Medicago truncatula: one gene and its partner. The protein of the gene in region 1 binds, or shares a complex with, the protein of each later gene. Links are inferred from orthologs where the notes say so. Each region holds a gene or a part of one and is shown on either strand. Other genes may lie near its edges.

Evidence for each region.
Region 2: the proteins of plastid division protein CDP1, chloroplastic (region 1) and plastid division protein PDV1 are in contact, whole or in part, in a crystal structure (PDB 6JZN), measured with the Arabidopsis thaliana proteins. The link is inferred for Medicago truncatula from reciprocal best matches to the Arabidopsis thaliana genes PARC6 and PDV1. Residues at the interface, in NP_188549.2 of Arabidopsis thaliana: Trp700, Glu701, Lys704, Leu708, Trp729, Leu732, Thr735, Ala736, Lys739, Cys741, Trp743, Phe745, Leu773, Glu775, Ala777, Glu778, Leu779, Asp781, Ala788, Lys789, Tyr790, Ser792, Tyr794, Ile796, Tyr798, Ile815, Ile817; in NP_200140.1 of Arabidopsis thaliana: His264, Leu265, Asp266, Val267, Met268, Met269, Ala270, Arg271, Gly272.

Annotation. Positions count from the first base shown.
Region 1 is NC_053047.1:36,573,763-36,590,507, reverse strand, and holds the start of plastid division protein CDP1, chloroplastic, read left to right. Parts: upstream 1-10,067; 5' UTR 10,068-10,272; coding exon 10,273-10,530; intron 10,531-11,800; coding exon 11,801-11,914; intron 11,915-12,028; coding exon 12,029-12,166; intron 12,167-12,283; coding exon 12,284-12,388; intron 12,389-12,482; coding exon 12,483-12,605; intron 12,606-13,487; coding exon 13,488-13,856; intron 13,857-14,018; coding exon 14,019-14,114; intron 14,115-14,286; coding exon 14,287-14,403; intron 14,404-14,892; coding exon 14,893-14,958; intron 14,959-15,036; coding exon 15,037-15,810; intron 15,811-16,545; coding exon 16,546-16,736; intron 16,737-16,745. Other genes in the region: DNA-binding protein RHL1, read right to left, coding at 96-208, 720-949, 1,033-1,119, 1,497-1,607, 3,536-3,865; auxin-induced protein 15A, read right to left, coding at 5,274-5,576. UniProt on the Arabidopsis thaliana protein: Component of the plastid division machinery required for PDV1 localization to constriction sites. Involved in chloroplast division site placement. Required for the proper formation of FtsZ rings at the division site in nongreen plastids (e.g. etioplasts).
Region 2 is NC_053042.1:9,753,625-9,771,207, reverse strand, and holds plastid division protein PDV1, read left to right. Parts: upstream 1-10,952; 5' UTR 10,953-11,093; coding exon 11,094-11,420; intron 11,421-14,848; coding exon 14,849-15,358; 3' UTR 15,359-15,874; downstream 15,875-17,583. Other genes in the region: arabinogalactan protein 41, read left to right, coding at 1,901-2,015, 2,755-2,828; low affinity inorganic phosphate transporter 4, read left to right, coding at 6,214-6,605, 6,801-7,995. UniProt on the Arabidopsis thaliana protein: Component of the plastid division machinery.

The DNA of each region.
Region 1 (16,745 bases):
CAAGGATAGATTTTACATAAAAAATGCAAGAAAAGGTACAGTTTGCATTTTTCAACACTAGTATTACGGGGATGCCGAAATGACACTAAGGATATTTGAGCTAGTATGATCATTTGCATCAGTATCAACTTCTACCGCTTTTTCTTCATGTTCAGAAAGGTCGGGGCTGCTTTTACCAGAATCATCACCAGAAGAAATTTCTGCAAATCTGGCCAAACAAAAGAACTATATGAGTATGACTTTGATACAACTTTTAGTTACATCAGACGTTCCACTTAAAGTTAAATAACGCAAACCTAAAACAATCACACAAAAACTAAACATTAAAAAAATTTGGAACAATGGGCCTTTGGCCCTATCAGCAAATGAGAAATGCGTGTTTTAAATGTCACTTTTATAGAAAATGTTGGTATCTTTTTACTTGTTTTTTCAAAGTTCAATGTAACATTAATTATTGTTTTGTCAAGAATTCTCTTAACTATTTATTGCAGAGAGGTAAATAGGTGGAAGATATAATAGATAGTTAAAGAGACTAATGGAAAAAGACAAATAATTGCATTAAAAATAACAAAATGTACTGGTTTTCATAGTATGTGTAGATAACCTTAAAACAACAACTAAAAAGCAAGAATATTGTTTTGTTGCACAAAAATTAATTTTTCATGATTTTATTTTGGAGAGCAACAGACTCAAGTAAACGAAATAGAAGAAGCTTATACTTGTATGATTTCTTTACAGTTCTCGCTGACTGGCGAACTGGAACCAACTCTGTTGTATCCTTTAATTCGATTTCACTGTCTGATAGATCTTCTTCAAGAGGTGTTTCTGGTGACTCTGGCTCTGGACGTTTTATTTTGGTTTTGGAAACACCATGATTAACTACGGAAGCTGCACCTGCACCTGCACCTGCACCTGCACCCCCTTTAAAGTCGTGTTCAGTTTGTTTTCCCTGAAACCAAGAATATAGACTTCATTTCTAAGTGATGTTCCTTCTTATGACTAGGTAACTATTACATTCCAAAAGTTCCTAACCTCATACAGTTCCTTGGGAAATTCCAGTTTGGCTTCTTCTGGGTTCTCGTCTTTCGTCCCAATCCACCATGCATCCGAAAATACAATCTAGTAAAATCAAGACATTGCTCGTAAATAAGGAATGTGGGTGTTCATACTCACAAAGCTCAGTGCCAGAAGATACAAATTTGTAAATGAAGAAGCAAAAAGAATGCAAAAAGTATGTATTCCTAGACCAACAAGAAATTAGGATAAAAAGGAATGGGAGGAGTACAAGCATTGTTAGATCTAGATATGCATATTATATGAAGGAGAAAGAAATCCGTAATGAAGTTACATTCGCAATATATTAAAAGGAAAGTCAATATGCACACAAGAAATTTCTTTCACCAAGTCCCCTTATAATTTGAATACTAATATACCTTCTTCTAGTTCATGTCTCAAAAACAAATAATAACGAAAACATGAATGGTAAAAAAACTAACCATGTTATCAAAATAATCCTCACACATCACGCTCTTTCCACCTTTGGAGAATTGTAGAGTCAAGTACCTATTCTTTGGATACAAGATAGTCCCAAATAACTTCATTCGACCCTGTAGAGGGAAAGTGAAAACACACATCGTCAGTTACCAATATAAAACATAACAAAACAAACGAAGTGAAACTGTTCAACAAGATTTAGATCAACAAGTTGTCATTTAGCTGAGTTAAGTAAGTTTTGTTAATTGCAGCCAGGTATGCATGCCACTTGCAGGTGAGCCTGTCAGATTAGTTGACAACAAACAGAGAAGGCAAATTAACCAAATTTGTGTAGGACTTGCGTTAAACAACAGTCAGAAAGTCCTGCAATAAGTCAAATTAAACCCATATTTCACCGGCAAACTTGGTTTTTTATTAGTCCTTCAACTCTCCTGTTACAATTCCAGTTGACACGCTAACTGATAGTAATAAAAATAAAAGGGAAATACTTTTTACTACGAATCACAAAAAACGAAACCTGCGAATAACACTACCACCCCCATGTTTTCCACAAAATCCGCTTTTTGTGTATTTTTTTTTTTATATTAAACAAAAATTGTGATAGCAAATTTGTACTTGATCGTGGTATTCGTGGAATTGCATTTTGTGGGAAATAGCATTCCTCAAAATAAAATTGTCAAATCCATTACAACAACTTCATAAGTTGCTCACAATTTCTGCCGGTAAAACAGTCAAATTAAATGACTGAATTGCAAGTAGAGCTACACTCAAAACCTATGTAGCACCAACACTTGATTGAAAGTGTGGCTCGTGTCTAACCGACACAAGTGATTACATTCAATCACTTCTATTTTCTCAAATTAATGTCTACATGTCAGTGTCTGTGTCGTGTACAATTTTTGTTCAAGTAGAGTTACACTCAAAACCTACGTAGTAGCCAACACTTCAAATTAAAGATGTGTACAGTGTCTGCGTGGTGTACAATGTTTGTTCAAGTAGATTTACACTTAAAACCTACGTAGCACCAACACTTCAAATTAAAGACTTGTACAGTGTCTGACCAGCACAACAACGACACAAGTGGTTAAATTCAATCACTTCTATTTCCTCAAATTGTTATTAGTGTTTACGCCGTGTCCAATGTGTAAGAGGAGTTACACTCAAAATCTATAAAGCCCCAACACTTCAGACATAAGGTGTGTCTGCTGTCTTACCGACACAACAACGACACAAGCAGTTACATTCAATCACTTCTATTTTCTCAAATTATTATTAGTGTCTACATATAAGTGTTTGTGTCGTGTGCATTAATGTGCAAGAAGAGTTACACTCAAAATCTAAGGAGCACCAACACTTAAGATTGAAGGAGTATCCAGTGTCTTACCGACACAACAATGCCACAAGTGGTTACATTCAATCAATTCATTATCAGTGTCTACATCGTGCCCAATGCTTATGCAAGTGGTGTTACACTCAACCTATGTAGCACCAACACTTCAAATAGAAGGCGTCCCCAACTAACACCATAACAACACAAGTGGTTATATTCAGTCACTTCCATTTTCTCAAATTATTACCAGTGTCCACATATCAGTGTCTAATGTCTATACTATGTCCAATCAGTGTCAGTGATTCATATCTCAAAACAATCAAATCCTCATTCAAAAAATTAATAAAGCTGACAAAATCTCCTAGTCTTGATTTGAAAGTAGAGTTACACTCTAAACCTATGTAGTAGTTGCACTGACACTTCAAATTGAAAGTGTCCAATTTCTGATTGTCACAACAACTGACATAGACAATTACATTCAATCACTTCTATCTTATCAAATTATTATCAGTGTCCACGTGTCAGTATCGTATCCAATATCCGTGTCAGTGGTTTATAGCTCAAAACAATCAAATCATAAACAAACAAACAAAATTAATAAACCAAACCCAATTTTCTTGTAATACATACTTCAAAACTCAAAAACAAAACAAACCCACAACCAAAAACCCTGAAAAATTGAATTTTTAAAACACAAAAGTAAAAAACAACCTGAGGGAAATCGAGGTAAAGAATTGGATTTTTGGTTCCCAAATCCTTAAGATCACCAATCTTCCCACCACCAATAGGAGCAAACAAACCAGGAAACGAGAAAAGGTATCTACTACTCTTCCTCTGAGACTTCTTAATAATATCTTTACCATGATGTTTAGCAACAATGGAAGAAGGATTAAGGTGAATTGAACTTCTAGCTTTGGTTTCTGAAAGCACGTTGTTTGAAAATGCTAAGGATTTGAGTCTCTTGCGTTCTATGGTTTCTGGGTTTGTTGCGTCGGCTTCTTCGTCGCTGCGTGTTTTCTTCTTCGTTTTTGGTCGTGCCATTTTTGGATTCAACGTTGTTTCTTCTGTGATATGGCGCGGGAATGAGAATGAACTCTTTTAATAACACAAGAGTGGGTTTAGATTTAGGGAAATGACTTAGTCAAGACGAGACAGTTGCACTCCACTCGACTCAGCTGAAGAAGAAGGAAGAAAAAACAGACAAGTATGTTCGCTTGAAATAGACCGGGTTCCCTATGAACAAGAAGTAAAGTGCAAAATGATTGTAATTAATGTTATGTTTTAATTTAACTTATAAATTTGGATTATTGTTTCGATTATGCTAATTTTGAGTTTATACAATATAGTTTATGCAAATAAATAAATTCCTTTTTATTATTTATAAGCTTATCAGTCAATGTAATTTATAAAAATAAATAAATAAATTAGGTTGTGTTTGTATGACAATGAAACCACTTACATGGATTATATTATCTCCAATCTAGTAGGCTCATAAATTGTATTGTAATAATAAACAACAACTCTTATTAGTATTAGGGTGATGGTTATAACTTATAATCAACTTTAATTGCAATGACATGTTGAATAATTATTTTGGTAGTTGAGGTTTGAATCTCAGACCTTACATATACAATATATTGTTTTTACTAACAGAGTTAAGCTTGCAAGGAGACATGTCGAATAATTTAAAATAAGAAGTGTGTACTTTTGTTTTTATTATATAAATTTTATTATAAATCATCTTGCATATTCATTTCCTATTATGATTGTTGAAATGAAGGTGACGAAAACATATAATGATTTTATGATTGTTTTCCTTCCTTTAATTTTGACGATAAGAGAAGGAGGACACACATAGAAGATGATTTACGATTGTTTTTCTTTGCTTATTCACAAATTTATTTAATGACAAAAATACCATAATAACTTGGTGCTCACTCAAAAGCTCAACACGTTAGGAAAGAAGAAGAATTTTTTAAAAACTAACTTGCGAAATATAAATATGTGCATGGTACACTAAGAAAACATAGGAAAGAATAATACTTTTTTTTGTGACAACATGATTCTCTTTGTAAGAAAGAGCCAAATTTGTGTTGTTTGGGTTAACCAGAGGTTTTTTTTTAATTGATATTAACTAGCAATATAATTGATAGTAATTTCTTGATAGTAAATCATATATTTTCTTGAAATTAGAAATTAACTAGTAACCATGTATTAAATCATATAATTGATGTGTGAGGTTAGTATTTTAGTAAATCATATATTTTTTTAATTGAAATTAACTAGTAATCTTTGATAGAAATTAGATTACAATCTAAAACCACAAAGATTCATTCTTTGGGAAATTTATTCTAAAATACTAACCTCACACATTTTAAGGTTGCATCTATTTGAATATTAATATATAGAGAGAGAAAAAAATAAAGTTACGAAGCAGCTACAACATTTTTCATCTATCCAAACTAGAAACAATGGACTCAAAAACATCTTGGCGGCAAGGAAGAGTGAGACCCTTACGATCATGATCAAAACCAAACTCTTCTTCAGCTTGACGGAGAAGGTTTTGAAACACTGGTTGATGTAGAAAAGAAATTGGAATAACATATTTGATTCTGTTTTCTCCAACATACACAGCAATGTAGCCTTGGGAAATATCTGAATCAAGGCATTGACGATCATTGTTAACTTGTGTTTTCTTGCCTAGACATGAAAATTTCTTAAGAAATTTTTTGATGGGATTTGTTGGAGCCATTGTGTGGATTTCGTGTGACAATATAAGAGATTATAATTTTAGTTATGGTTTTTGTAAAGTGGTATGATATTAAACACCCTGCGAATTCTATTTATAGACTCACTCATGTGCATCTCTTAGATATTTTTATATAATTTAAAACCGTATATTTGATTTTATTTAAATCCAAAATATAATTCTCTTGAAACAATTTCAAGATCATATTTAAATAATTTTAAAACCGTATATTTCATTTTATTTAAATCCAAAATATATTTCTCTTGAAACAATTTCAAGATCATATTTAAATAATTTTAAAATCGTATATTTCATTTTATTTAAATCTAAAATATATTTCTCTTAAAACAATTTTTAAATAATATCTTTGATTTTATTTGAATCCAAAACATATACTTTTTGAAAAAATTCGCTTATGTGCACCTTTTCAATATTTTAAATAAAATATATATTTTTTAAAACAATTTCAAAATCATGTATTTTATTTTATTTAAATTTGAAATATATTTCTTTTAAAAAAAATTCAAAATCATATCTTTAATTTTATTTGAATCCAAAATACATTCTTTTTGAAACAATTTCAAAATAAAATCATTAATTTTATTTAAAACCATTTTATAACACACACATTTATATATATATATATGTGTGTGTGTGTTTTCAAACAATTTCAACATTATATCTTTGTTATTAATTTATTAATAAGCCTCTTTGACAAAAAAAAAAAGGCTGACTTATTTATTTATAATTTTTTTTCTCATCTATTTGTATTTTGTGCTAGACCTTGTATGTTCTCGTAACATTTGTAATCATATTAAATAATACATATTTAAGTTAATATTATATACAATAAATAGGAATTATCGACACATAAGTGTCATCCAAGTGACAAGAATGTCATGTGACCTGACAACACTTTTATGTGATAACTATAATGGATATAATTACTTCTTTTCCCTTTATGCCTATAACAAAAAACAACATATAGATTGTGTAATCTATGTATAGTTCAATATTTATATTTCTTGGTTTTGAAATATATTGAGTAAAGAATAAATTCAATATCTCATTTTTTTTAAGGAAGTTCAATATCTCGTATTAACTTAGTTAAGCATGACCATGCATTTTTACACTCATATTCGTAAGAGTCTTAAATACATTTTTCATGTTTTGAAAAAGTTGTATTTTTAGGCTGGTTTTCAAGTGGGTTTGGGCTAAAAAAACTAGGCCTTTTCCTCAAATTTGCAAGAGAAAAGAAAAGTGTTTTCTTGACATAGAAAAGTTCATAAAGACACAAGTAAAATACATTTATGCCCCCAGCAGTCGTTAACTGCCGTTGGTTTTTCCCCCAAAAACCAGAAAACCCCTACCTCTCCTATTCATTCATCACCTTACACCACCAATACCATACCAAAAAAAAAAATCCCCTTATCAAATTTTTTTTGTCAAAATCTTGCTTCCAAATCATTGCTGATCGATTGCTATGACGTTTCTACACACAATATGCATCAAATAACAGGTATTACAACGTTAAAATCCATTACATTTGATTGATTTTTCTGGTTATTTTGTTTTGTACTGTCACAAGCTTGAGCGGCAGTTAACCACCGTTGGGTTTGAGCGGCTGTTAACTGCCGCTGGTAACTTAGAAATTTTTTCAAAATTGTCAAATGGCAGTGCTACTGCCCAAAAAAAAAATTTCAATTTTTTTTCCTTTTGTTTTTTTTTTGTTTATGTTATTATATGATATTAGATACATGTTTATTAATTAGTTTAGTAATTGTATGTTGTTTATTTATAGATAAGGTTGAGAATGCGGGTGATCGAAAACCTAGAGTTGTCGATTCCATTAAGGTTGAAGCTCTCGCTAAGGTCGAAGCTTCCGTTAAAGTTGAGGCTTCAAGCGTCAATTCCGATGTGTGGAAACTTCGTGACAACGAAGTGGACACGGCTCATTTATTTTCGACCCGATGTGTGGAAACATGATTTGCCTTGGTTTAATCCCAAATCATTTTGTCCTTCTTTCGTTGGTTGTCCACTACCTCCATCATCCACGGAGTGGAGAAATCATAGGAGCGATGAGGCAAAAACATGGGATTATGAATTCTTGGATCAACACGATCGTTTCCGAGCACTCATGGAGATTGAGGACAAAGAGAGACCGATTCCACCAAAAGAACCAACAAATGAAGACAATCCAATTATGTTTGATGACACTCCAGTTAAAGAAAATGAAGAATTTGAAGATGTTCTGGAACATTTAGATTATTTGCTTTTGTTAGATGAAATATGACACTTTTTGGTCGGTGTTAATCTGTTTTTTAGTCGATACGTGCCGACGTATTTTTTGGATATATAATGTAATGATTAATTTTTTGGGTGATATGTAATAACCTTTAACTATATATATATATATATATATATATATATATATATATATATATATATATATATATATATATTTGAGTTTCGCATTTATTAGTAATTAATGTACATTACGTGTAATGTGTTGCACAATGTGAAAAATTTGATGGATTTCAAACAATTGTGAAACGTTAACGCATTATCGGTTTTGTGTAATGTTACCGAATAATTGATAAACTATGAAATATTGATGTTTGTGATTGCTTGATGTTGTTGTTTCGGTTTGATTTCCTCCTGAATTGTCGTTCGAAATTATAGGTAAAACAAGACAAATTTCCTGGAAAAAACCAGTGCAGGCTGCACCGATTCTGCTAACTAGTGAGAGCGGCAGTTAACTGCCGCTGGCTCCAGCGGTTGTTAATTGCCGGCGTATTCTTGAACGGCTGTTAACTGCCGCTGGGGGCATAAACGTATTTTACTTGTGTCTTTTTTGTTGTTTTTCACCTAGAGGCGCACCTCACACGCTAGTGCAGTTTTCGCACACCCTGGGTGTCACATCAGCACTCAACAGCGTGTTTTTGGGTTTTTTTTAGTCTTTCTGAGTGTTTTCTTCCTTGTAACTTGTCCTGAGACTCGAAGTAGAATTTATTCTCTTTGTAATGTCTTCAGATGCTTTTTGAATCATCATCCATTGTCTTCCCAAATTCTCTTGAGATGATTTGATTTGTCAATTTGCATTATTTTGCATTGAATTACATCATGAAACCTAAGAACTGTTTGGTTTTGGGGAAACTAGAATTGCTTGACTCAAAATGAAAACGTTACAAAAAGTTCCAAAAACCATAGACAATTGTTATAAATATCCTCTAAATTGGATCAAAACCTAAATAAAATGACTGAAAAATATGTTGAAAATAACGTAAGATGACATGTCATTACCCTTGACCCCAATTTGTCTTGTCCTTGAAATAGTTTAACAATCAAACACTGCACAAATCGAGCTATCATGTCCTTCATTTTTCTGCAGATCATATGCATTTATAGTGTGCCAATGCATTATTATACAATGTATAAGCTTATCCAATCCAACCTTTATAAAATGTGATTATTTTGGGCCGCTTATATCATTGCTCCAATTACAAGGATTCTAGTCATCTTACATAAAATTTTGCTCCTTCGCACCTTGAAAATACTAAAATACCCTAAACGGCAGCTAAATGTCGTTTGCTCAATGAATTAGTCGAATTTAATTGCCGTTGAAAGGCATTTTAGTAGAGAGCGACAGTTAACTGTCGTTGAAGGTATTTCGGTATTTTTGGGGTGTGAGGGAACAATTCTTGAAGTGAAAAGATAAAAATCCCATTTATAACAATGATAATAACACAAAATCATTAATTGAGTGCGATAGATGTGAGATATCGTGTGCTAACACATTATTACATAATCTACAGACTAATTTAATTCGACCATTGTCTAACGCAATCCACTTTGGGCCCCTTGTATCCATGGTCTAATTATAGCGGTGGTTTGTAGTAGCGCGATCATCTTTGGGTTACTTATAACATTGATCCAGTTATAATAGTGATCCATAGTAACACAAAATCATCACTTAAGTGCAATAGATATAATATATCGTGTGTGCTAATGCATTATTACACAATCTACATGGTCATTTAATTCAACCATTGTGTAACATTATCCTCTTTGACCCCTTATAGCCATGGTCCAACTACAACGATGATTTGTAGTAGCACGATTATCTTTGGGCCGCTTATAACACTAGTCTAGTTGTAGCAGTGATCTATAATAACACAAAATCACAACTTAAGCGAGACTGATCTTAGATATCCCGTGCCAATGTATTAAGTTAATTTAATTCGACAATCCTCTCCATTTGGTATAATAAATGGAGTATGCAATTTGGAGAGAGATAGACACAGGGTCCTACTTTTAAGTGGATCCCACCATCATTAATTACTTTTTAATTTTTTGAATTTTTTTTTATCTATATCTTTTCGAATGGATGAAATCGAGAGAATAATAAATGGAGAGGATCTTAACTCTTAATTAAGACGAAAGAGAAAAAAAAAATCCACAATAATTATTACTACTTGTTTTAATTTGTCGTAATCTCCCTCTTTTTCACCCAACGTTTTTCACACACACTTCTCTCCCCCAATTCTTCACTTCTTCTTTTCTTCTTCATAACAAAAATTCCAAATCACTTTTCACAATTTCTAAACTCAAACCAATGTGTTACGAATTTCCAATTCAACAATGTTGAAATTTCACTGAACAATTAGGGTTTTGAAGAAAGGGGAATGAGAGTTCGCTCATGGCACTGGCTAATGCTGCAGTGATCGGTCCTTCTCTGTATAGCGTTGCTCGCATCACGAAAGCTCCTTTTCCAGGTTCACATGGAGAAATTGGTTCTAGATTTTGTGGTTCTGCGTTTTGTGTTTGTTCTCACGCTGGGAAAAGTGATGTTGTTCTTGAACGGAGGAAGTTGAAATTTGGTGATAGTAATAATAATCGCATTGTTGAAAATCAAGTGTTGAAATCGACAGTCGAAATTCCGGTTTCGTGTTATCAGGTGATTGCAAATTGGTGTTTGTTAGTTTAATTGCGTGTTTGTGTGTTTAATTTGTTTGATTATTCATTCGTCATTGTAATTATCATCGCCATTTTTGCGAAGTAATTAGATGTTAATGATAGGATCTTAGTGAGTTTGATGAATTGGAGGAATGATTGGGAGTGATGACCGCCCCGGTGAAACACTGACACAGACCCTAGACATGACACAGACACACGGCACTAGTAATAATAATTTAAGGAAATAGGAGTGATTGTATCTAAACACATGCGTCAATGTCAGACATTGACACGTGTTAGATACTCATACACGTCTTCAATTTGAAATGTTAGAAATGACACATATATAGACACAGACATGTAGGCGCTGGTAATAGTTTAAGAAAATAGAAGTGATTGTATTTAAACACCCGTGTTAGTGTTGGACACTGACACATGTTGGATACCGGTACATGTTTTTGATTTGAAGTGTTGGTGCTACATAAGTGATATTTGATATGTTAAAGAGAAATGACTCAAGCTTTAAAATAAAACTTGATGTTAATTCTCTTTATTTTATCATAAGATAAAGGATGTTGCATGGAATTGAATGTTGGAAGGTAAAATAACTAACAAGAAACTAAACTTATTGTTGTAATGATGAGATTGTCAGCGCAGGCACTGACACATGTTAGATATTTGTGCATGTTTTTGATCTGAAGTGTTGGTGCTACATAGGTGATAACTGACATGTGATAGAGAAATAACTCTAAGCTTAAAGAAATCTTTGGTATTCATTTATAATAAGACGGATGATGTTTTATGAAATTGGATGTTGGATGGTAAAATACCTAACAAGTAAACTTATTGCTGCAGTGATGAGATTATGAGAATGTTACAATGGAGGAAGAAATGGATATATTAGACAAGATAGGATTAGAAATGAAATTATTAGAGAAAAAATGGAGATGTGTTCGGCGAAGACCTGTAGATTAGAAGTAGATGAGGAGAGCGTGCATAGTCTTATAATTAGAGGTAAAGGAGAGACCAAAGAAAGTTACAAGCTATAAACATAGATTTAGGGGTAGTTTTATTCTGCAATTTTGGCTCGTTGAATATGATTGGATAACTCCATATGTTTTATATCATCAACTAAGTTTGAACATATCCACCCTTTGCATTTTTGTTTTCCATGTTATGAAGGAGTTGGTGTTTGAGACGATTCATTAGTTATGATGAGTGTTTTATTATTGTTTTGAGATTTGTTCTAGACCACTTGGTTCATTTTGCAGCTTATTGGCGTTCCTGATCGAGCTGAGAAAGATGAAATTGTTAAGGCAGTTATGAGTTTAAAAAATGCAGAAATTGACGAAGGTTACACAATGGGCGTTGTTGCATCTCGCGAGGTATAGATGTCACCACTAACTAATTATGTTTTGCTAAAATTGGTTTTAGAGACGCAGATAAAGTAACTGAGTTGTTGTTGTTGTTTGTTGCTCTCATCTAATATTACTTTGCAGGATCTTCTGATGGATGTTAGGGATAAGCTCCTTTTTGAGCCAGAGTATGCTGGTAACCTGAAGGAAAAGATTCCCCCTAAACCTTCCCTTCGTATTCCTTGGTCTTGGTTGCCCGGTGCTCTATGCCTTCTTCAAGAGGTACACTTGGCACATACTTGGTCTTTTTAAATTTTTTTTCTTCCCGATGACCGTGTATTAATTTCTCCCTGTTTTCTGGAAATATTTGACTTCTACTTCTCTATTCCTTCTGTTCAGATTGGAGAATCAAAGCTTGTGCTGGACATTGGAAGAACGAGTCTTCAGCATCAAGATGCGAAGCCATATGCAGATGATTTAGTTCTTTCTATGGCACTAGCTGAGGTAAGACATATGGACAGAGGTTGGAAAATTACTATCTGAATTTAAAACAGTCTTGTTTATATACCCTATTCTTATCATAGGTGTCTTATTGAAGTGTACAGTTGCGAAAATTGGCTTTGAGAAGAACAAAGTATCTCAAGGTTTCGAAGCTCTTGCTCGTGCCCAGTGTCTTCTAAGAAGTAAACCATCTCTTGCAAAAATGACACTCTTATCTCAGGTGTGAAACTTTTTTTAAGTGTATATTCACTGACTGGTTTGCTTAGTATATATTACCTCAGACCCTAAACATAGGCTCCTCTTGAGAAATTATCATGTCCCTTTTTATGGGTCCCCTTCAAATTTTGAAGTGTATTAATTATTTCTTTATCAGCATAATACTTCTTATTAATTTTCCACCTTTTTTAGAACCAACTAATAAACAATAAATACTGTCATGGGAAAGATAAATTCACCCTCTCTCATAAAGGGTAAACTTGGAAAAACTATACCAATTGTTAATAAATTTAATTTAATACTACTTTCAACTTTCTTAGTCTTCATGATTTAGTCAACAGGGTCTAATATTTATGTATTTAGGGACAAATGTAGTATTTTACCAGGAAAAGATTAGGCTATAAGCCTGTAAACTCCACCTCTCATTTCAACTACAAAGAAAAAGGAATCATTAATTAAACAGGTGTAAAATTGTTGTAATCCCTAGTTTTTGTTTCTAATTCAAGAACATTGGGAATTTCCATGAAGTCTAGGAATAATGTGGTGTACTTATTTAGTGAAGATGATCATTTCTATTTCAATATTAGATTTATTGCTTCTATAATTTAAAAAGCTCCGATAACAGATAATTTAAATCAGCTTCCTGAATATCCAACCTTATCATGGAACACCGTATACTTATCTCGTATTTCTATCAATTCTATGTTCATGTCATTTTCATATTTTATATCATCTTTTTGGCTGGAGAATTTACCATTGTGCAATTATGGTTGGAAACCACATTCAATTTAAAAGACTTTAGCCTCATCCATCTTGTGTATTATCACATTCCATGTCGGTATATTATGCATGGAACAACCCTGAGAATGCTTTTAATGGTGTATAGATTGAAGAATCTCTTGAAGAGCTGGCCCCCGCCTGCACCTTGGAGCTATTGAGTGTGCCAAATACCCCTGAAAATGTTGAACGAAGACGAGGAGCAATTGCAGCTTTACGCGAATTGCTTAGACAGGGTCTTGATGTTGAAGCTTCATGCCAAGTACAGGACTGGCCTTCTTTTCTAAGCCAAGCATTTCACAATTTACTGGCTAATGAGATAGTTGATCTTCTTCCTTGGGATAGCTTAGCTGTGATGCGAAAGAATAAGAAGACAATTGAATCACAGAATCTAAGGATAGTAATTGATTCAAATTGTTTCTATAGAGTTTTTACAGCTCATATGGCACTTGGATTTTCCAGCAAGCAAAAAGAGTTGGTAATAACCTTCTTCAATAATACCTTCCTTCAAAGCTTATAAGCATTTTAATATCCCTTCTATACTCCTTGTATCATAAGTACTCTTTTTGGGCTTACGTACTCAAACAGTGACATTCTTAATTTCATCCTGATACCAAGTCTTTTTATAAATTATATGCAGATTAACAAAGCAAAAAGCATATGCGAATGTTTGATAGCTTCAGAGGGCATTGATCTAAAATTTGAAGAAGCTTTTTGCCTATTCCTTCTTGGACTGGTATGTTTTTATCGTCTTAACCTTAATTATTGGAGCTGCTGTTATGAAGTATTTAGACATTTTGTATTTGAATCTTGGTTTCCTGCAGCAATATTTTTTCTTTCTTTCCAACTTTCCAATTTTCTGCGAGATTCTACAACATCGTGCTTCATTAATGTTATCTTCAATCTAGGGCACAGAGGAAGAGGCAGTTGAAAAGCTCAAGCAGCTTGAGCTGAACTCAAATCCAAAACGTAATTCAGTCTTGGGGAAGGCAATAATGGATTCTTCAGCTGTAAACCCATCATTGGTATTTCTCTTGTCATCATGTTCATTCAGTTTCTTATTTTTGTTTTCCTTCAGGACGTGGGTTGAAAATGCTTAGGTGCCTTTATTACACAAATTTCTTGACTGACCTTAGTGATGCCATTTCCTCCCATTTTTTAGTCTTGACTCTCTTGAGGACCCTAGCGCCCTATGTTCTCATTGTGTGCTATTAATCGAGGCATGGATTTCAAAATTAGTGTGTTTTGGAATAGTTTTATGCTTATGTAAAGACAGTGAAGTCTAACCTAAACGCCGTATGCTAAGATTCATTTCTTTTTAGTTTTTCAATTGAAAATGAGATTTTGTTGAGAGAAAATACCTCAGCTTTTATTTAGCTTCTGGAAATATTTCTTCAGTGTATATTATATTCTTACATGAGATAACAGCTAAAATTCGATGGCTCAAGAACTTCTTTTTATCCTTTATTTTAAGGTTCTATGATATAATTTTGAGTTTTTTGCTGAATTGGCAGGAACTGTGGCTGAAGGATTCTGCGCTTGATTTATATCCAGATACTAAAGGTTGTTCTCCAGCTTTGGTAAGATCAACTATAGTGAACGAAACTAATTTGTTGCTTTGATTCTGACATGTTACTTACAGATGTTCATCTCTGCAGGCCAATTTCTTTAATGCTCAAAAGAAATTTTCTGGAAGCAAGAATTCTAAAGGATCTCCACAAATGTTTCCTACTATATGTCATAGGCCTCTATCCTCATCTGGTTCTGTAGAACGAAAAGATTTTGAGGAACCTCGCTCATATATGAGTTCTTCCTCAAATTTGGGGTTTGCTGTCAAGCAGCTGACTCCTACTGATTTGCAGGGTTCACTGCTATCTGGCAAAAATGAAAACGGAGTCAATCAAAGTGAGCAAACTGTTAAAGTGAAAAGGAACCTTAGCACTCATCACAATGGAATTTGGAATAATCACTTCACTCGTGCTCAAGTATTTGAAAGAATAACACACATTACCATATTGGGTTGTATTGCATTTGCTTGTATGAAGTTGTTGGGAATGAACCTGGGCAAGAATGGTTCTAACTTGGCTTTCAAAAAAGCCCACACTTCTACTTCTTGGACTACAAATTCATCTGCTAACTACACTGTAGGCCCTACCTATATTAGGCGAAGTTCTGTTGGCAACAAACTGAAGGGACTTATTTCAATGGTTAAGATGCAGTTTTTGCGCCGGCCAGATGCTGAAAGCCGAAGTGGTTTACACAGCACTCTTACCTCATCATCCTCCCCTATTAATGTGTATAGGAGGCTGATGCCTGTGGAAGAAGCGGAAACCCTTATTAGGGAATGGCAAACAATCAAAGCTGAAGCTTTGGGGCCTAGCCATGAAGTAAATGGCCTAACTGATGTCCTTGACGAATCTATGCTTGCTCAGGTAATGCATGCTGATGCTGCAGTCTTCTTTAACCACTTTTTTTATAATCAACTATCATTTCAATTTTCAACCGTCTATTGTTCGATCATTCAGTTCATCAATCTATAGACTATTTAACTATTAAATGAGAAAGTTATACGCTATCATATGGTTTCTTGTTTGTTTATGATGAGTAACATAACAAATTCATCAATCTATAGACTATTTAACTATTAAGTGAGCAAGTTATACGCTATCATATGGTTTCTTGTTTGTTTATGATGAGTATTATAACATACATGATTATCTGGGGCTTTGAAATACTTAAAATTTGTTGGTTTATGAAAGGAAAATCATAACAAACCAGCTATATGCAGGTCCATTTCATTGGCAGTTTGATTGTTATTTGCTTCCAAAAAAATGTCTTCAATTTAAATTAATCACCACAAAAAACTTTAATATGAATGATCATATTTTTAGAAAATTAATGTTGTTGGTATTATAGATGGCTTATTAGAGAAATTTGACTCCTACACTGTAGCTAATAAACTTGTGGATAGACAGACAACTCAATAGCGTGTTCAATCTTATTGGAGGGTTTGAATAATAAGACTCCCACACAAAGTAACATTTGGAAATAAGAATTGTCAATAGTTATTGATTGCTGATATGACTTAATTCTTGAGAATTTTCATGTTCATGTTGACTATGCATCACATGGAGAAAACTTATTGGTTTTTATGTTATCTTTGACAGTGGCAAGCTTTGGCAGATGCTGCAATAGAAAAATCTTGTCACTGGAGATTTCTTTTGCTAAAACTGTCTGTCCTTAGAGCCGACATACTATCAGATGGAAATGGATCAGACATAGCAGAGATAGAAGCCCTTTTAGAGGAAGCAGCTGAACTTGTTGACAGTTCTCAGCAAAAGAACCCAAACTACTATAGGTAAGACAA
Region 2 (17,583 bases), on another chromosome or scaffold:
CGTCTTGAATATAAACAAAACGGTACATATATTTGGTTCAAATTTAGACCAAATATATGTACCTTTTTACTTATATTTAAGATCGGAGGGAGTATACTCTTTTGTATATGCATGAGTATTTTGAAGTTATTAGGTCTGCTGTGGCAAACTGTTGATTGTATTTATTATATCAATCAACAGCGATATGTAGCTTATGCCTTTGGTCTTGTGCTTTATGTCTATGTCTTAATCCATAGCCTTTCTATTCTGCAGCATGCTTTCCTACTCTATAATCCTTTGTATTCAGTAACTTAGATTCACTGTTGTATTGGACCAGCGTGACACAAGCCTAATGATTGAAGAAAATCTAGAAGCTTCTAGTAGCTTGTTAGTTACTGTTGACCGTTGAGAATAAAAAGGGTAATTTACTTCGCATTTTGACTTGACATGAGTGTGTAGTAAAAACATCTGTTAGAAGTGGGGATGTCAATTTGCACTCGTAACTTTGTAAGTGGGGATCCATGTAGGGACTATCTCATTAGGTCTGGGGTGTTTTTGCCCACGGGGATGAGGGAGAAAGTACTCCGAGGGTGGTTTGAGGAGAAGGACGGGGATTATACCTCCACCCGGTGGGGACCCCGTCCCCGAGCAGATTACTACAAAAGCTTCACATGAATACATTCAAGTATTTAAATCTTAGATTCATTTGTATGTTCACACCATATGTTTGTAAATTTATGTTAATGGCAAAGGCATTATAACTCACACACACAAGTGGAGAAACCGGGGTTCGAACCCCAGTCATGGCATCCGGCCTAACAATTTTGGCATTTTGCCATTATATGTGATATTTATTGTTGCACAAGACTCGAAATAATTTTTATATTGATGGGTCCCTGTGCGGATCTGCAAGATGGGGACGGGAACAAACTCCCCAAGGTGGAGAATGGGGAGCATTTTCAGTGACCAAGACGGGGAGCGGGGGTACTCCATGTCCCTCGTCCTATTGACATCCTAGTTAGATGTTAATCTCTTAAAAAAATTAGTTATCTCGAAAGGTTAGTCTTAGTTGTTGCGTACGAATATCTTGATTTGTAAAAATATATGAAGTAATTGAGTTTATATTTATTTTAATTTTATATTTTGATTACATCTCCTCTATATTTGTAATTTTGTATATTTGTATATGCCATCTCCCAATTATATTTACAGTATACTATTTTATATTTTGATTACATGTATAATGAGAAAATGGACAGTTCAATTAACTATATAAAATTTTATTTGGTAAAAATAATTGACTATTCAATGAATTAAGTAAAATATCGAACTCATTACAATAACTATTTAAGTAAATCATTTTTGACAACGAATCAAAACTAAATATATTTCTTTACATATTTAGTTATTTTACCTACATAGACATATTTTAATGCTAAAGGTTCATTTCATTACGAATATTCTCTTATTCAAAATCACAAAAATGGATAAAATTTATGTCAATTATTAAACATATATGCAATCTGTCAGTCCTAATAACAACCTCAAATCAATGATACATTACAAGGATACACAGCACACAACCAACTCATCAAATTCTTTTTTGTTTTGGTAATAACATAATATATTATACAAACAACTCATCATGTGCTAGAAAATGAAAAAATTAACTGAAAAAATACAATCATTTCCTTCTAAACATGCGGGTGCACCTCTCATTCTACATCTCATCATTGCTGGCTCTCATGTGAATGTTTTCAATCTTATAAAAGGAACACATAACTCTTTGTATTCACCACCCGCCCATAGTTCGCATATATTCTCTCTCCTTTTTTTTTTTTTTTCTATCTCGTTTAAAATTTGTAAGAAAATTAAAGAGAAGATAAAATAAAAGGAGAGAGAATCACTGAAAGAGAGAAAAATGACACTTTCATTTTGGGTGGTCGTGTTCCTTGGTCTTATTTACGCATCTTTTGCGTCAATGGCTTCTTCACAATATGTTGCTCCGGCTCCTGCTCCTGCTCCCACAAGTGATGGTAAGTTTTCATTAAGATTATGATTTTAACATAGGTTTTTCAAGTATTCATAAACTTTATCCTTCTATGTTGATCTCACCATCTTATATAGTTGATGGATGATATTCCAAATTTTGTTCTTTTCCTTGAGAATCAAACTTGTGAAAGTTCAATGATTATAAAATTATAACATAATTCATAAATTCTTGATTTTGATTGTGAAAGATAAGATTTTACCTCATGTTGAGAAACTTTTTTTTGTCTTGATCATAATATCTCGATCAAAAAATTTAAATAGGGTTTATGATTGCAATTTAGACTGCAAAATCTGGTATTTGATGTCTCAATGACCACAATGTGATTGTAGTTGAAGTCGCAATATTCATGTATGGCTGCGATTCTCCAAAATATCAAAAATTGTGATGCGTAGTCGCGATTTGAAATATTTTTCTCATTCGTCTTTGAGTTCGTGTTTCTTTACCTAATTGATTTAGACTATCTTGGGTTTGTTAGTCTAAAACACTGCATGTGTAGTATTGTTAAAAAAACACGAATTAAACCGTTAAATTGAACCGCACCGATAAGAATGAAACTTGTTATTGACAGTTCACAAACAATTCGGTTCATTCAATTTCTGAACTATCTGTTACAATATGATATTTTTGGGTTTACTCTTTGGTTTTTTTCAACCGTTCTAGCCAATATTGTTGTTTGGTTGCAACGCATGGCTAATAATTAAATTGTTCTTAAAAATTTGCAGGAACATCAATTGACCAAGCAATAGCATATGTCCTAATGCTGGTGGCCTTGCTTCTCACTTACATCATTCATTAGGGCATCAACAATGGACTTGTACTTCAATTCTATATCAATACAGATCTTTTTCAAGGGCATGTAACATGTAATAGGAGGAAGAAAGATGTTTTAATTTGACTATTGCATATTTGAATATACTTCCATTGCTCCAAGGATAGTCTCATTCTGATTTTTTGGTTATCTCTATTTATTGTGATTATTCTAAATCATTTTTAGTATTTTTTAAGGGAAAAATCATTTTTTGTTATTGATAAGGAATGAAGGGAAAATAAATAGACAAAATAGAAAGAATGCTGCCTTAGGTTGTCTTTTTATTTTTATTTTTGACAAAACAAAAATAATATTTATTCATTCAAATTGATAAAGTACATTGAATACACCATCGTTAAAAACAATAACAAAATATATAAATACGTAAACAAACGCACATCATCCAAATTAATAGCATACAACATTAAAATCTTACAATTACTATGATAAAATCAAATCAACTAGAATATCTATATCGGTATATCACTAGATCTGCAAAGTTGAAGCTCAAGTTATTGATTGAATTTTTAATTAATTGAAGCTAATGTTTTAATATGAACCAACTAATACCACAACAATATGAGAAATCAAATAATGTCTCACCGAGACATTGAACAAAAAATCGTCGCACTCAAACGACAAGATCACAAAAACACAAGAAAAACGTGTTCGATGAAAAAATCACTTATTTAAATTAAAAATGTACATAAAACTTCTTTTACAATCCCCGGTTTCAGTCCCTTTATTTTGGAGACGATGCAACATTTGAGTTTTGTTCACGGGTTCGAACCCGCACCTCTATCAAGCATATTCACTGTCATTAACTATATGAGTTGTATTTATGGGACAATAGTTGAAATTTCAATCAAAGTAAATAAGACTTATAACATCAGCTAAAATATGTTGAGCTTGTTTTAATAACCCGATAATTATTTATGTTGATGATTCTTTCGTTTAAAATAATGTTATTTCAATTCTTTGAAATTTTATAATTCAATAAGAACTCTCTTGATAATTAGTAATTCAACCGCTGCATTCATAAACTAATTTAGGCCAAGACCCATTCATAAACAATAGACAAACTCATGAGTAAACGATACAAAAACCGCTGCATCAAATTCATTGAACTTAATAACAACCCATTTGTAATTCAACCATTATGTTGACAAGCTTACACATGAGTGGCCAAAGCATACACCTTTGAGAGCATACACAGTTGTTGTTGATGACAGGGGCAAAACTGGAAAATAACTCAAGTTGCACCGTATCCCTTCACTTTCTTCGCATAAGTGGGGAGATTGAGATTTTAGTGGGTCCCATCCAAAAGTTATCACTCTCTTCTATTTCTCTGCTCAACCAAACGAGAGGAGTGTGCCTTCTCTCTTCAACTTCTCTCTATTCAATTTCTCTCTTTCTTTTTTTATTGATATCAAACACAGTGTTAATGAAACTTTTCCGGCGTAGTCACACACCACCCCCCTTCTTTTTACATCCCAAGAGTGTTTAAAGTGTGTCAAAGTATATTTTTTTTGTTTGAGACACTTGACTGAATTGTTCGATACATATCCTACAAATATTTCGTGTAGATGTCACCTCTTATTGTGTCGCAAAAACCCATCTATCTCTTTCTTCTCTCTCAAGGCTAAAATCGATTTCACTCCTATATTTAGAAAATAAAAAAAAAGGACAATCTAAGTGTAAGAAATAAGTAGGAAAGATTGTCAAATTCATCTTCAAATAATTTTCCTTGATTGTTTTAAACTCGTTCTATTTTCTATTTGCTTACATTTGAATATTTAAAACTTGTACTATGTTCTATTTGTTCATGTCTCTTGAACACTTCAACCCTTTAACCATCGGACTACACCTTCGCGGACATAAATGCCTAACTAAAAGTATTAGAGATTTATTGTCCTTTTAAAGACATAAACACATCATTTTGGTCTCAAATTTCGGAGTCTCTAACACTTAATGATGGAATTGAAATTAAATTTTATTTATCGTTTTCCTCTCTAAATTATGGTGGTAATTCAAATTTTCTAGTAGTATGGTGTTCCCTCATATACAACGCAATTGTTCGGTACGAACTCATTAGAGGATTAATGAGAATGATAAACCCTCACATTATGATTGATCAAAGGATCAAATTTGTTGAATGGTAGATGGAAATCATAGCAATGAATAATGACAAAATGTACAAGTAGCTAGATTATTTGTCATCTGATTTGTATAGCGAAGTATTAGAGCTTATTTACATAACTAAGTTGGATAGTTATTCAGTTAGTAGTTTTCCCAAAATATACACGGACTTGACTAGCTAGTTTCTTTGATGATTGTTCAATACACCTCTCAATTTCTCTTATGATCAGGTCGAACTCTCAATCAACTATTTTTGTATGTAAAATTTGATCAGGTAAACTCCTGATCAACTTTTTTCAGCAAGATGAACAATTTTAAGAGATCTATTGAACAATCTTCGTTTTTTTTTCAACATACTCAACTTAAGTTGGGCTGATCCACAACAAAGATTAATTTTTGTTCAAACAACTAATACTATCTGAAAATACACTTCCAAAAATATGTTAAATTTTTGTTTTTTTTAACATGGAGTGAAAAAAAGTTGCTCCCTTATTATTTAATTGGCACACATTTTTGTATGTTTAGTAAATGACACGCATTCTATTCGGTGGTAACGTTTGTCCTCACATACACCTCATTTGAATTGCATTTGTATCCTACTACCTCCCTTTCCAATTATATAAGATATTTTTGAATTTTTTTTGTTCCTTTTTATAAGACCTCCTTGTTATTTCCAATTAAATTAATTATTTCTTTACATATATGTCCCTATTTATTATACATTTTTTTCTTCAATCAGCAATAAATAGCATGTTGAAAATATAAACTATCTCTCTTTCTAAAGGATAAAATTGTAAAATCAATAGTGATTACAAATAACTTTAATACAAATACTCACTTTCTTAATTCCTGTGATTTTGGCAAAAAGGTCTTGTATATAGGGACGGAGGTAGTATTATGTTAGCAAGCAGCTAAAAAACAAAACAATAATCCTCTTTTAACAGCTAACTGTAACCAAAACAAAAGCACTTAGCATTTTTGAACATTCCCTATAAGAATATCCTAATTAATTGATCAACACTAGGTGAATATCCATAACATTTAGCTAGCAATCTCAATTTTTCTTGTTCTCATCTCCTAAGCTAACTTAGGACTAAACGTCACATTGTTACATTATCAAACACATATCAATGCATAGCCATAATAATATATATAAGAGCATACACATAAACACCTAAACCAAATTAACTCCAAAAACCAACTTGAGAGAGTCTTCCTTTTTTTTTTTACCAAAATGGGATTAGAAGTCCTTGAGGCTCTTGATTCAGCTCGTACACAATGGTACCATGTAACAGCTATAGTAATTGCTGGCATGGGATTCTTCACTGATGCCTATGATCTGTTCTGCATTTCAACCGTTTCGAAGCTCTTGGGACGATTATATTACTTTGATCCAAGCACTAACAAACCAGGGAAGCTTCCACCATCAGTTAATAATGTAGTCACCGGTGTGGCCCTTGTCGGAACACTTTCTGGCCAATTAGTCTTCGGCTGGCTCGGAGACAAACTTGGACGCAAGAAAGTTTATGGTGTCACACTCATTATCATGGTTGCTTGTGCCATTTGCTCTGGTCTTTCTTTTGGTTCTTCCGCGAAATCTGTTATGATAACCCTTTGTTTTTTCAGGTTAGTGGTGGATCCAACTTGGTTTTTAAGAAAAATAAAATAATTTTAATAAGAAAAAAACCGGGACAACTTAGTCCCTACCTAAACTACCGCAAGTAAAAAAGTTTGATTTTATATCTTCAAGGGAGAAGGTTCAAATTCGTCGTAATGACTAATAATTTTCCCATTTTGCCATGAATATTTCATGTGATTTAGGTTTTGGCTTGGATTTGGTATTGGTGGAGACTACCCTTTATCAGCAACCATCATGTCTGAATACGCCAACAAAAGGACACGAGGCGCTTTCATAGCAGCAGTTTTCGCAATGCAAGGCGTGGGAATCATCTTTGCCGGATTGGTTTCAATGGTATTTTCAGGAATTTTTAAAGCATACTACCAGGCTCCCCGTTTCAATGAAGACCCAATTTTATCAACACAGCCCGAAGGGGATTTACTCTGGCGATTAATTCTCATGATCGGTGCTGTTCCAGCTGCGATGACTTACTACTGGAGAATGAAAATGCCTGAAACCGGTCGTTACACTGCAATCGTAGAAGGGAACGCGAAACAAGCCGCTGCAGACATGGCAAGAGTTTTGGACATCGAAATCATAGCGGAGCAAGATAAGTTGGCTGAATTTAAAGCAGCAAATGATTACCCTCTTTGGTCTAGCGAGTTTTTCAACAGGCACGGTCGTCATTTAATCGGTACAATGAGTTGTTGGTTCTTGTTAGATATTGCTTTCTACAGTCAGAATTTGACACAGAAAGATATTTACCCTGCAATGGGACTTATTCGTCAAGACAAAGAAATGAATGCTATTGATGAAGTTTTCCAAACTTCGCGCGCCATGTTTGTTGTCGCCTTGTTTGGAACATTCCCCGGTTATTGGTTCACTGTTTTCTTCATTGAAAAGCTTGGAAGATTCAAGATACAGTTGGTTGGTTTCTTCATGATGTCTTTCTTCATGTTTGTCATTGGTGTTAAATATGAATACTTGAAAGACGAAAACAAAAACCTCTTCGCTCTTTTATACGGGCTAACATTCTTCTTCGCGAACTTTGGGCCTAATAGTACAACTTTTGTGTTGCCCGCTGAGCTTTTTCCTACGCGGGTGAGGTCAACATGCCATGCTTTCAGTGCTGCATCTGGGAAGGCGGGTGCTATGGTTGGTGCGTTCGGGATACAATACTACACGTTGGATGGTACGCCAAGGAAGATTAGACGCGCAATGATGATTCTGGCTTTTACAAATTTGATAGGATTCTTTTGCACGTTCTTGGTGACGGAAACTAAGGGACGATCTTTGGAAGAGATTTCGGGTGAGGATGGAAGAGAGAGTGAACTCACTGCAACACCAAATGACAGGGCTCCGGGGATTCGCCAGGACTCAAGAACTGAGAAGATGTGAATTTAATTACATGCTGCAACATCCATGTTTGTTTTGATAATATTATATTAATGTAATAATAATAAATAATGGGGCCAAAATTGATGTGTTTAGCTGGTTTATGATTATAAGATGAACCATAAGTTATATTTTGTTATGTGTTGCTGACAGAAAAATAAACTTATTGTAATGTTTATTTTTTAATGAAACTTATATAGTACTTTATTGTAATGTTATATTTGTTTTTTCTTACATATAATTTGTGTTAAGAAGACAGAAATGAGAAGAGTATACTTCTTCTCACATATGACAGCAATAACCTAGTGTGAACCTCGTTGATGTCAAATAATACAGAAGTGATCTTTGTAGGAGACGTTGATGTTGTGAAAGAAATATAGTACTTGATGCCTAAGTCAATGTTTTGATAATGTATATGAAGTTTTGTCAAGAATGAATGTGTACATATAACTATAAGAGATTCTATCCTAGAAGTTCATCTTTGGGATCAAAGTTCTAGGTCAGTATAGTTTTTATAAAATCATGGTGGCTTGTTTGCTATAATTTTGTCAAAACTCAATGCAAATATAAACAAATTAACTCGTTTTTCATATTCATTGAATGATGAGTTATTCCATGAATATGAAAAATGCATCTTTCTTTATACTTGGGACTAAAGGGAGTATCAAACAAGCACAAATTATTTTATAAACAATGAATTTGGAATGATAGATACTTCAATATAACCTACGAAGTTTGGATACTCTAAATAAGGAGACGTACCCATATAATACGTATTGGATATCGATAATCCGCAGATACATACCACGAAGTATTGAAATTAACTTTTAATTTTTTAAAAAATATTTTGATATTTCACTAATACACACATATACTTATAAGATACTTTATATATATATATATATATATATATATATATATCTTAGAAGAGGTGAGGGGTTGAAAAAAAGACAGTGTTATGATACTTTAGTGGAGATATATATGACTCAATTTAAGATGTGGATAAGTTGAACTGTCTCTAGATGAACCATCCTTAAAAGTTTTTTTTTTTTTTTTGTGGATGAAGGTAAAATGCCCCCAACGACAAGTAATTATGTTTGTTGTTGAACGACAACTAATTGTTGTTTTCCCACTAGCAACAATTAATTGTCGTTTCATTGTGAACATACTCTCTTCAGAATGAAATATAAGCAAAAATGATAGTTGAAAGGTCAATGTATATGGTTAAAAATTTATTTCACATACATCAACGTTTCAACTACCCTTTTGCTTATATTTCATTCTTGATGGAGTATATTAGAGTCAAAAATAGAACCACTCACATATTGAAAAACACTCAAAACACAAATTGTACTCCCTCCAAACTCCAATAAACCAAACTCTATAAAATTTCTTCAAACTCAAGCAATTAATCAAGTAAGTGTTCACAATCTCTAAGCATACTAAACATTGTTAGTTTTATATGATTAGGTATTTTTAATTGCTCACATGTTAGGGTTTTATTTTGTGATATTGATGACTTTTTGGGTAGTTGTTGATCAATTACATACTTGCTTTGAATGTGAATGTAGTTGATGAAGTTATTTATACAAGTGCATTGTGGGTAGTTCAAGAAAGGAAATGACACATTGGACATTGAATGTATATATGGCTGACAACATAGATAAGTTCAGGTTAGGCAGGTTGACCCACACAAGCAGCATACACATAGTGAATGTTGCAGTGAACCTCCATCTAAACAGGGCCGACTTAGGCATATGAACCTCACAGACAGGAACCACATAGGTGGTTGATCCTACACTATATATGCATGAGCATTAGTACGAGGTTCAAGCTAATGACAACCAACATCATGCTCCATCACCACCACCACCACACAACACCCATCACCATACTACCATGACCCACTACCACCTATGGGATTAGGTAGTGGGCATTCTGATTTTTCTATACTGTTTAATTGCTTGTATTATATGTTACCAGAATTTGGATGTGAGAAGTAAGTATAATTATCTTGGTCAAATTTAAGTGTTTTTAAAATTAAGTTTTTTTTTTCTGATTTATATTTGTTAGTTTGCTTTTGTGTTTTAGTGATGCAAACATGTTATGCAAAACATCACACATGGAAATAAGATAAGTATTAGTGAATTGCAACATCAAACAGTGCATATGAATTGATTTTAGGGTCTTGACTCTTGTGCGTGCTTATGGTCTTGTCTCACTTCTTGTGACACCTTTCGTTGAGCGGTGGCATGACAAAACCAACAACTTCCTCTACCAGTTGGGAAATGACCATCACGTTGGACGATGTGTCATGTTGTCTACACATCACGATTCATGGCAAGTTTATCAATGATATGGCTAAAATCTATCAAAAGCAAGGTTATGCTCTTATTACTGAGTTATTTAGTGTGAACGGAGATGATGTTACTAATGAATGCAAAAATATGAAGGGTGCGCGCGTTGAATTTGCTTGGTTGAAGCAATAACGAATATACCGTCAAAACTATCATATTATTTAGATAAACAAAAGTCAAAAAAAGTATTCAACATCATATACAATATAACTCGAATGTGTGGTGTATGGAGTCAAAATTAAAGAGAGAGTCAATAACCATTATATTTTGTGTTTTAGTCAAATTATTTTCGAAAAACGTTTCCATCAAAATAAATTTACACTCTAACAGCATCAGAGCAAGAATTCACACTTTAACGTACAATCAAACATACCGCAAGTCTAAATTCACAAATTCATCAAAATTCAAATTCTCCAAAGTATTTTCCCTCCTATAAAAAAATAGTAATTTTTTTGTGTTGTTGACAGATAGAGAGTGGACTCGACATGGTTATTGTCACCAAAAGATTATTTAAATTCAAATAAAGTAATATACGTGTGGTCACTAGTCACTACAGTACATAACTACTTTAATAAAATAAAATACAAAAAAAGTAAAATACTCATTTCTTCTACAAAAAACGACACAACGTTCAGCCAAAAATTCCTTCCCTTGTCTTCAAGCAAACCCTCACTCTTCATTCTTCATCACACACTTTTTTCGCTTTTTTCATAATCGCGTTCTAAATAATCGCGTTTCGATGAAATGAAATGGAACACGCAAATGGAAGAAGTAGAAGCGATTCTCGAGAAAATCTGGGACTTACACGACAAACTCAGCGACGCTATTCATTCCATTTCACGATCTCATTTTCTCACTTCCGTCAAAACGCTCACGAATTCTGCGCATAACAAAAACGACACTGTTTCTAGCGAAACGACACCGGAGGGTAATAACGGTAACGGTTTTGTTTATGTGAAGGATTTTCGGCCGGTGAATGACGATGTTGATGATGCCGTTCATGAAGCGAAGAGTCTTAATGCTATTAGAACCGCGCTTGAGAATCTTGAAGACCAGCTCGAGTATTTTCATGTGAGTTTTTTCAAATTTTTTTATTTTTTGTTGAATTTTTTGTTTTGAATTTGATTCTAGGGTTTGGTGTATTAAGAATTAGGCGCGAAATTGAATGCTTGATATGTTTTTGCGATTTGAAATTTTGATGAAATTGAATGTTTAATATGAATTTAATTTTTGCTTTGATGAAATTGAATGTTAATTATTTCAAAATTATGTGGCGCTAATCTACACTTTTTGATAAAATTGAATCTTAATTTGAATTTTCACTTTATGATTTGAGATTTAGGTTAATTGACTCTTTGAGGAAATGAATGATAGGTTACAATTGTGTGTAGGATTATTTAACCTTTTTGAATTTGAGTTGATAAAATAATTATTTAATAGGGTTGTTAATTAGCATTGGATGGTGACTGTCAATTGAAGATCGTGAAAAAATAGCAGTTGTTCAAATTTTGATATGCCACAACGCTATAGCGCCGTAGTAACTGCTATTTGACCACATTTTGTTCTAAATAGTGTATTGTGGAACAATAGCGATTAGCTCAAATTTTGCTATGCTATAGTGATATAGGTTGCTATAACTGCTATTTGACAACAATTGTTTATGTCAGAAACTGGTATCAAAATACAATTTGATTGTAGTAACTGACTTTTATTGATGGTAAAATAGGTTTACAACATAAATAGTATTACACCCATATAGAAAATGTAACCACTTTCTCTATTTATTCCTTAAAATAAACAATATATAACTGACATAAAACTGCCATAATAAGAAGTTTAAGAACATCCAAAATGGTGGGTGCTTCACCTATTTAGCACCATACTAAATAGGCACCCCATTGTGGAGTATAACATTTGGGTTGCCTATGGAGAAGGGTGGCTAAGGAAGCACCCTCTCTCTCTCTCTCTCTCTCTCTCTCTCTCTCTCTCTCTTCACTTTTCGCGGCTCCCATTTCATAAATCATAATGAAATAAATAAATTTTGTTGAAATGTAATGATATAGAATTATTTGTGGAACCTATTTTGTAATTTCTTGTGAGGTGTTGTGTTGAATAAAATTGGTGCTTATTAAGTATTACCATAAGATGAATGATGTGGACATAGGTAGCCCATTTAAGCACCCAATATCGGTGCTTTGTCATGGATAGTCTAATGGTATATTATTTTGTTTTTTCTCAAAACAAAATGTAGCCTTTGCTTTATATTGTTTGTAAGTTTTGATTTAGAATATTCTGGTTGAGTATGATGTGTTCTACTAGGCGAGTTTAATTGAGTTGAACAATACTGGCACATGAATATATGACCCCAAGGAATGACAATGTGGGTTGGACAAACGAAAGGAGTGATGAAATGATGAAACATGTCAATAATCTAATCAGATTTGATTAATTATCAATTAGGTTACATTTGACTATCAAACAGAAGGGTGATGATATAACTTCTTGCCTTGTTTCAATATTATTGTATGAATTTTTTAAGGGTTGAATGAGTGATATATTGGTCTGAGAGATTTTTAATTTCAGTTCAGAGTAAATGGTATCTGCAGTAAATTTATGAATTGTGATAATCAAAATGCTTGCAACTTTCCTTGCTATGCCCCAATCATAGTACCAAATTGTTGAATCTGACCCCTAACAATGAACTTTAGGCAATAGAGAAAATTGGAAGGTTGTCTGATAAGTGGGAGCTGTGATATTTAATATGTTTTTTTTTACAGTTTCATTTCATATGTTACATGTGGCAGATATATGTCAATGTTGCAAAAACCAACATAATACTCATTTTTATACTTTATACTATAAACCTGTCTAGGAGAGTAAACCAACTAAGCCAAGCTTAGTTCAGTAAGACTGCTAATGCTACATACCACCAAACTAATGTAATATTGTAACACACAAACACTTAGCATCAAGATGAAGCTTACTATTCCTCTTAGCTTGTTACAAATAGACACCCCAACAGAAAATTGCCTCAACATATAATGCGTGCTTCATAATACATAGCTGGAAAAACAATTACACAAAATTAAACAGCGCATCTTGAAGTCAGGAAGTGAAGTCATCGTTACTGGAAATAGTAAAGATACAACCTATTATTTTTGGAATGCATGATCATGATTAATTTTAAAACATTGTTATTTGGTGGAAATTAGTTTGTTTCACCTCACGCTTTTACTTAATATGCCCCTTGTAGTATGGCATACACAATAGACCATTATTTTTTAACTTAGGAGACCCAAGAGCTTTGAAAACTTGTTGGGAATATGAAAGAGAGCCAAACACATCTAGCTGCTGACAAAATGCATGCGAAATTACAAGTAAACACTAAGAAGTCATGGATTGGTGACCACTAATCACGAAGAAGTAAGAAGTTTATGTCTTGGGATTAATGCTTAAAGTAACTAAACTGTGTGAACATTGAAATTCAGACAAAAAATTTCTATGTTGTAATTATCAATCATCATTTTCTAAATCCAACACTTCCTTACCATTTTCAGTATGATTAGAGCATAGATGGTCTTTGGCTGATGGCTGGTCCCTAGAGTTGGTCAGCTGGTCACCCGAAAGAGAGACGAAGTGAGAAACTGTAAAATAAACCTCTGTTGCAAACCAAAGGGAGTTCTGGTGTGATTTTCCTATGAAACCACTCAAATACCTCCCCGCAAAAATCTCTAATGATTAATATCTAGGTTTTTTTTTTCTTCTGAATTTCAGTTTGTACTCATTGGGTGGCACTATCATGCCGCAAAATTCTCTATTTTGCCGCAAAAGTGGCTGCAACATCTGCTATAGTGAACAGTGACACAATGGAGGGCATTGTATCTGCTATGGGCCATGCTGTGACAATACTATTGTGCAGCAATTCCGTGCAATTGATAATCCTGAGTACGCTATGTACCTAATACTCCAAATTATACTGATAATAGAAGTCAAGTAGCAGTGTAGTACAATTCCAGATCAATGAGAAATACTATTGTTACAAAATTAACATGTATAAGCCAAATATTCTTATACCCATTAATACTTCTAACAAAACAAGTTTGACATCACTTGTATCACATAAATAACCCTAATTCTTTAACGGTCTGGATGAGATAGAGCTCTCTTATTCATAAAGGATTACCCAATTTCAGTAGTAGATAATCAATAGAACTAATGTTCCATGGAACGGCAAGTTTGTATAACAGGGGTAAGTATGGTTTAATGAGTTAATGTAAAGGATTCTTATTTGGTTGATGTGAAGAATAAGATATTTAATTCATAAAATGAGCCGACAATGTATATATGCAATATTCATTGTTTTTTCTGGAACTTGAGAAGGTTTTCCAATCAGTTAATCGCATGCTTAATATTTTTACCATGACTTTTTGGCCACTTCTTGTTTGTTTTTTTAATATGGTTTTGTTCTAAATTAGAATTCCTTTCTGTATGATATGTAGACCATTCAGACTCAGCAGCGTGTTGAGAGAGATGCTGCGATTGCACGTCTGGAACAGAGTAGACTTGTTCTTGCAATGAGACTGGCAGAACACCGTGGCAAAAAATATAAAGTCATTGAAGAAGCTCTTGCTTTTGTTGGAGATGTACATGATGCTAGCGGCCTTGTTTCACCTGAAGTTTTTGGACAACCAAAATGTACAGATGAGAATTTTGTAGCCGAGAAGGGGAAGAGATCTAATATCCTCGTCAATGTTTTTGTCTCAAGTTTCAATTTTGTGAAGAAATCTCTTGGGTTGGATCATATGGGCGGAATAGTAGGAAATGCTGCTCTGGTTGCCGTTAGTATGATTGCTTTGCTTCAGTTGCAGCAGGTAACTAATCATGAACATTCATTTAGGGAAGAAAATAGAGTTCACAGCAACAGAACTATGAGAAGAGCAGCTCACTTGGAGGGTTCTTCGTCCAGTGCCCATTCTGGTAACTTGAATGTTTTTTTGGCTAGAGGATAGGATTAAACCTCTATCAATGTGCTGAAATGACGAGGGTTATGCTTTCAGTCTATCAAGTGATATGTTCATTTTTTTTTTCTTTCTGTGCTTTTTGTCCTTTGTTTCATCTTGATTACAAAGGAGGTCTGAAATCTGGTCTGGTGAAGGGAGAATAGGCTAAAATGGAGGCATAGCTACTTTAGTGAGTTTGCCCAAAAGGGAGTTTGGTGTCATTTGATATATGGTTTTTGTTGCCGCCGAAAGTTTGCACCGGTTGCATAATAGTTGATCTGGTAATTTGTGAGATAGGTAGGTTCTGTTTGCTGATTCACACTTCTGGTGCATATGCTTATACTTAGTTGGATAGCGTCATCTGTGGTAGATTCCTGCACCTTTCTTGTGTGCTTTAGTTTAGAAAGTAAGAATGTCTTTTACCTTGATTTTTCTTGTTCGTTTTGCTTCCCACTTAGTAGAATCTTTTGTGAGAATACATTACTGTTGCAATGAAGGTGATTTTTTTTGTCAATTTTCAAGAAACTGATTATGCAGTACTTTGTTAGTTGTTGTTTTTGGTTCCCTCTTTATTAATCCAACAAATGGTTCCCTAATATTCATATGTGGGTCTTGTGTTAATGAAGATTGATACATGTACTAGTCTATGAAGCACGAGCACCGGACACAGACACTGACACGCTGACACCGCTAATAAACTGAGAAAATCACAATTCAGTGTAATCATATGTGTCGGCGTCGGCCACTGACACGTGTCCGACACCGGGACACGCCTAATCCGGAGAGTGTTTGTGCTTCATAGGTACTAGTGAACAACTGTTTGGTAACGGAAGACAAATGGACTTGGGATATGGAGTCTTAGAAATTAATTCAGAGTTGAATTTCTGGAGGTCAACATTCACTTGTTTAGACTATAATTTATTTGTAGCATGAACTTCAAGAATTATAATTATCAATATTTAAGGGGAAAATATCGTTGGCTTGCCCGTGTCAGTGTTATTATAGTCGAGCTATTCTCCCAAATGGCTTTTAAGGACATGGCTCCCACAGATATTCTCCATTAAAATTGCAAGTGTATTTTAGGCTTAGATCTTACTTGCAATCTTCTAACTGCCCTTCTTTTTGAAGTATCATTCGTGAACAATGGATGGGACCATTTTCTGTCTGTGGATCATTGAAATATTTTGGAATCAGATTCTCAAAGTGTAATCTGATTTTCTTTAGCATTGCTTGGAAATCAAGAACTTCATCTATAAGGAGTTGGGGTTGTAGTGGCTAATCCCTTTTTCCTATATCCTCATTTATTTCTTGTTCTATCAGGTTTTGCTGAGGCCTATTGCTTCAAACTTGATGTAGATTGGGTTGTTTCAGAATCATGACTTCAGTTAAAATGTAACTTATGTGCCATAATTTTATTTTTATCATCCAAATGCGCCATTAGGCTATAACTTCAATATTATTCATGGTTAAAATATAGCTCCAGAATATAGATTACTAATTAAAAGGTTGGTGTACTCCATTTTGTTGAGCTAGTACAACTGAGTGGGACTTTAGCACATGGATTTCACAAGAACATTTTGAAAGAAAAAAAAAAAAAAAAAGGAACATTAAAACAAGTTGACCAGTTTTGCAAACAACAGCTCTTATGAGCTATATAGCTTTTGTATCCCGATTTTTTCATAAACTTTAACTTCCTGATAAACAAAGATAAGTTTATACTAAACTTATTTTTGATAAATAAAAGAACCATGTGTTAAACACCTCCTGTATAAAGGGACCAAGGCCAGTCTGAACCTCAATGCCTGACCTTGGTGGGGATGCTTATGCTATAAAAGAAATCGACCTGGAAATCTACACCAACTTGGACCCCAACATGTACAATTTTGGTTGAAACTGTGTTTTCACTTCTTAACTTAAGTTCACATTAAAAAAGTACTACATATATTTCATTTTTGAAAATACAATTTCAAACAATTTATAGTATCCGTAAATATACTTCCAAAAATATGTAAGAATTTAGAATCGATAGTTGAATTGTAACACCCTCAACGAAGTTATTGAATTCAAGTGATTAATAAACTCTACCAAACAACGAGTCGTTCAGAAGAACTTGAGTTCGATACCTTTATTAAACAATTTTTAATTAAACTGTACTTAAGTTTCGATCAAACTCAGAATAACTATGTCATTTCCCCTAATAATTAGGGGTACCACCCTCCCTATAATTGAAAACA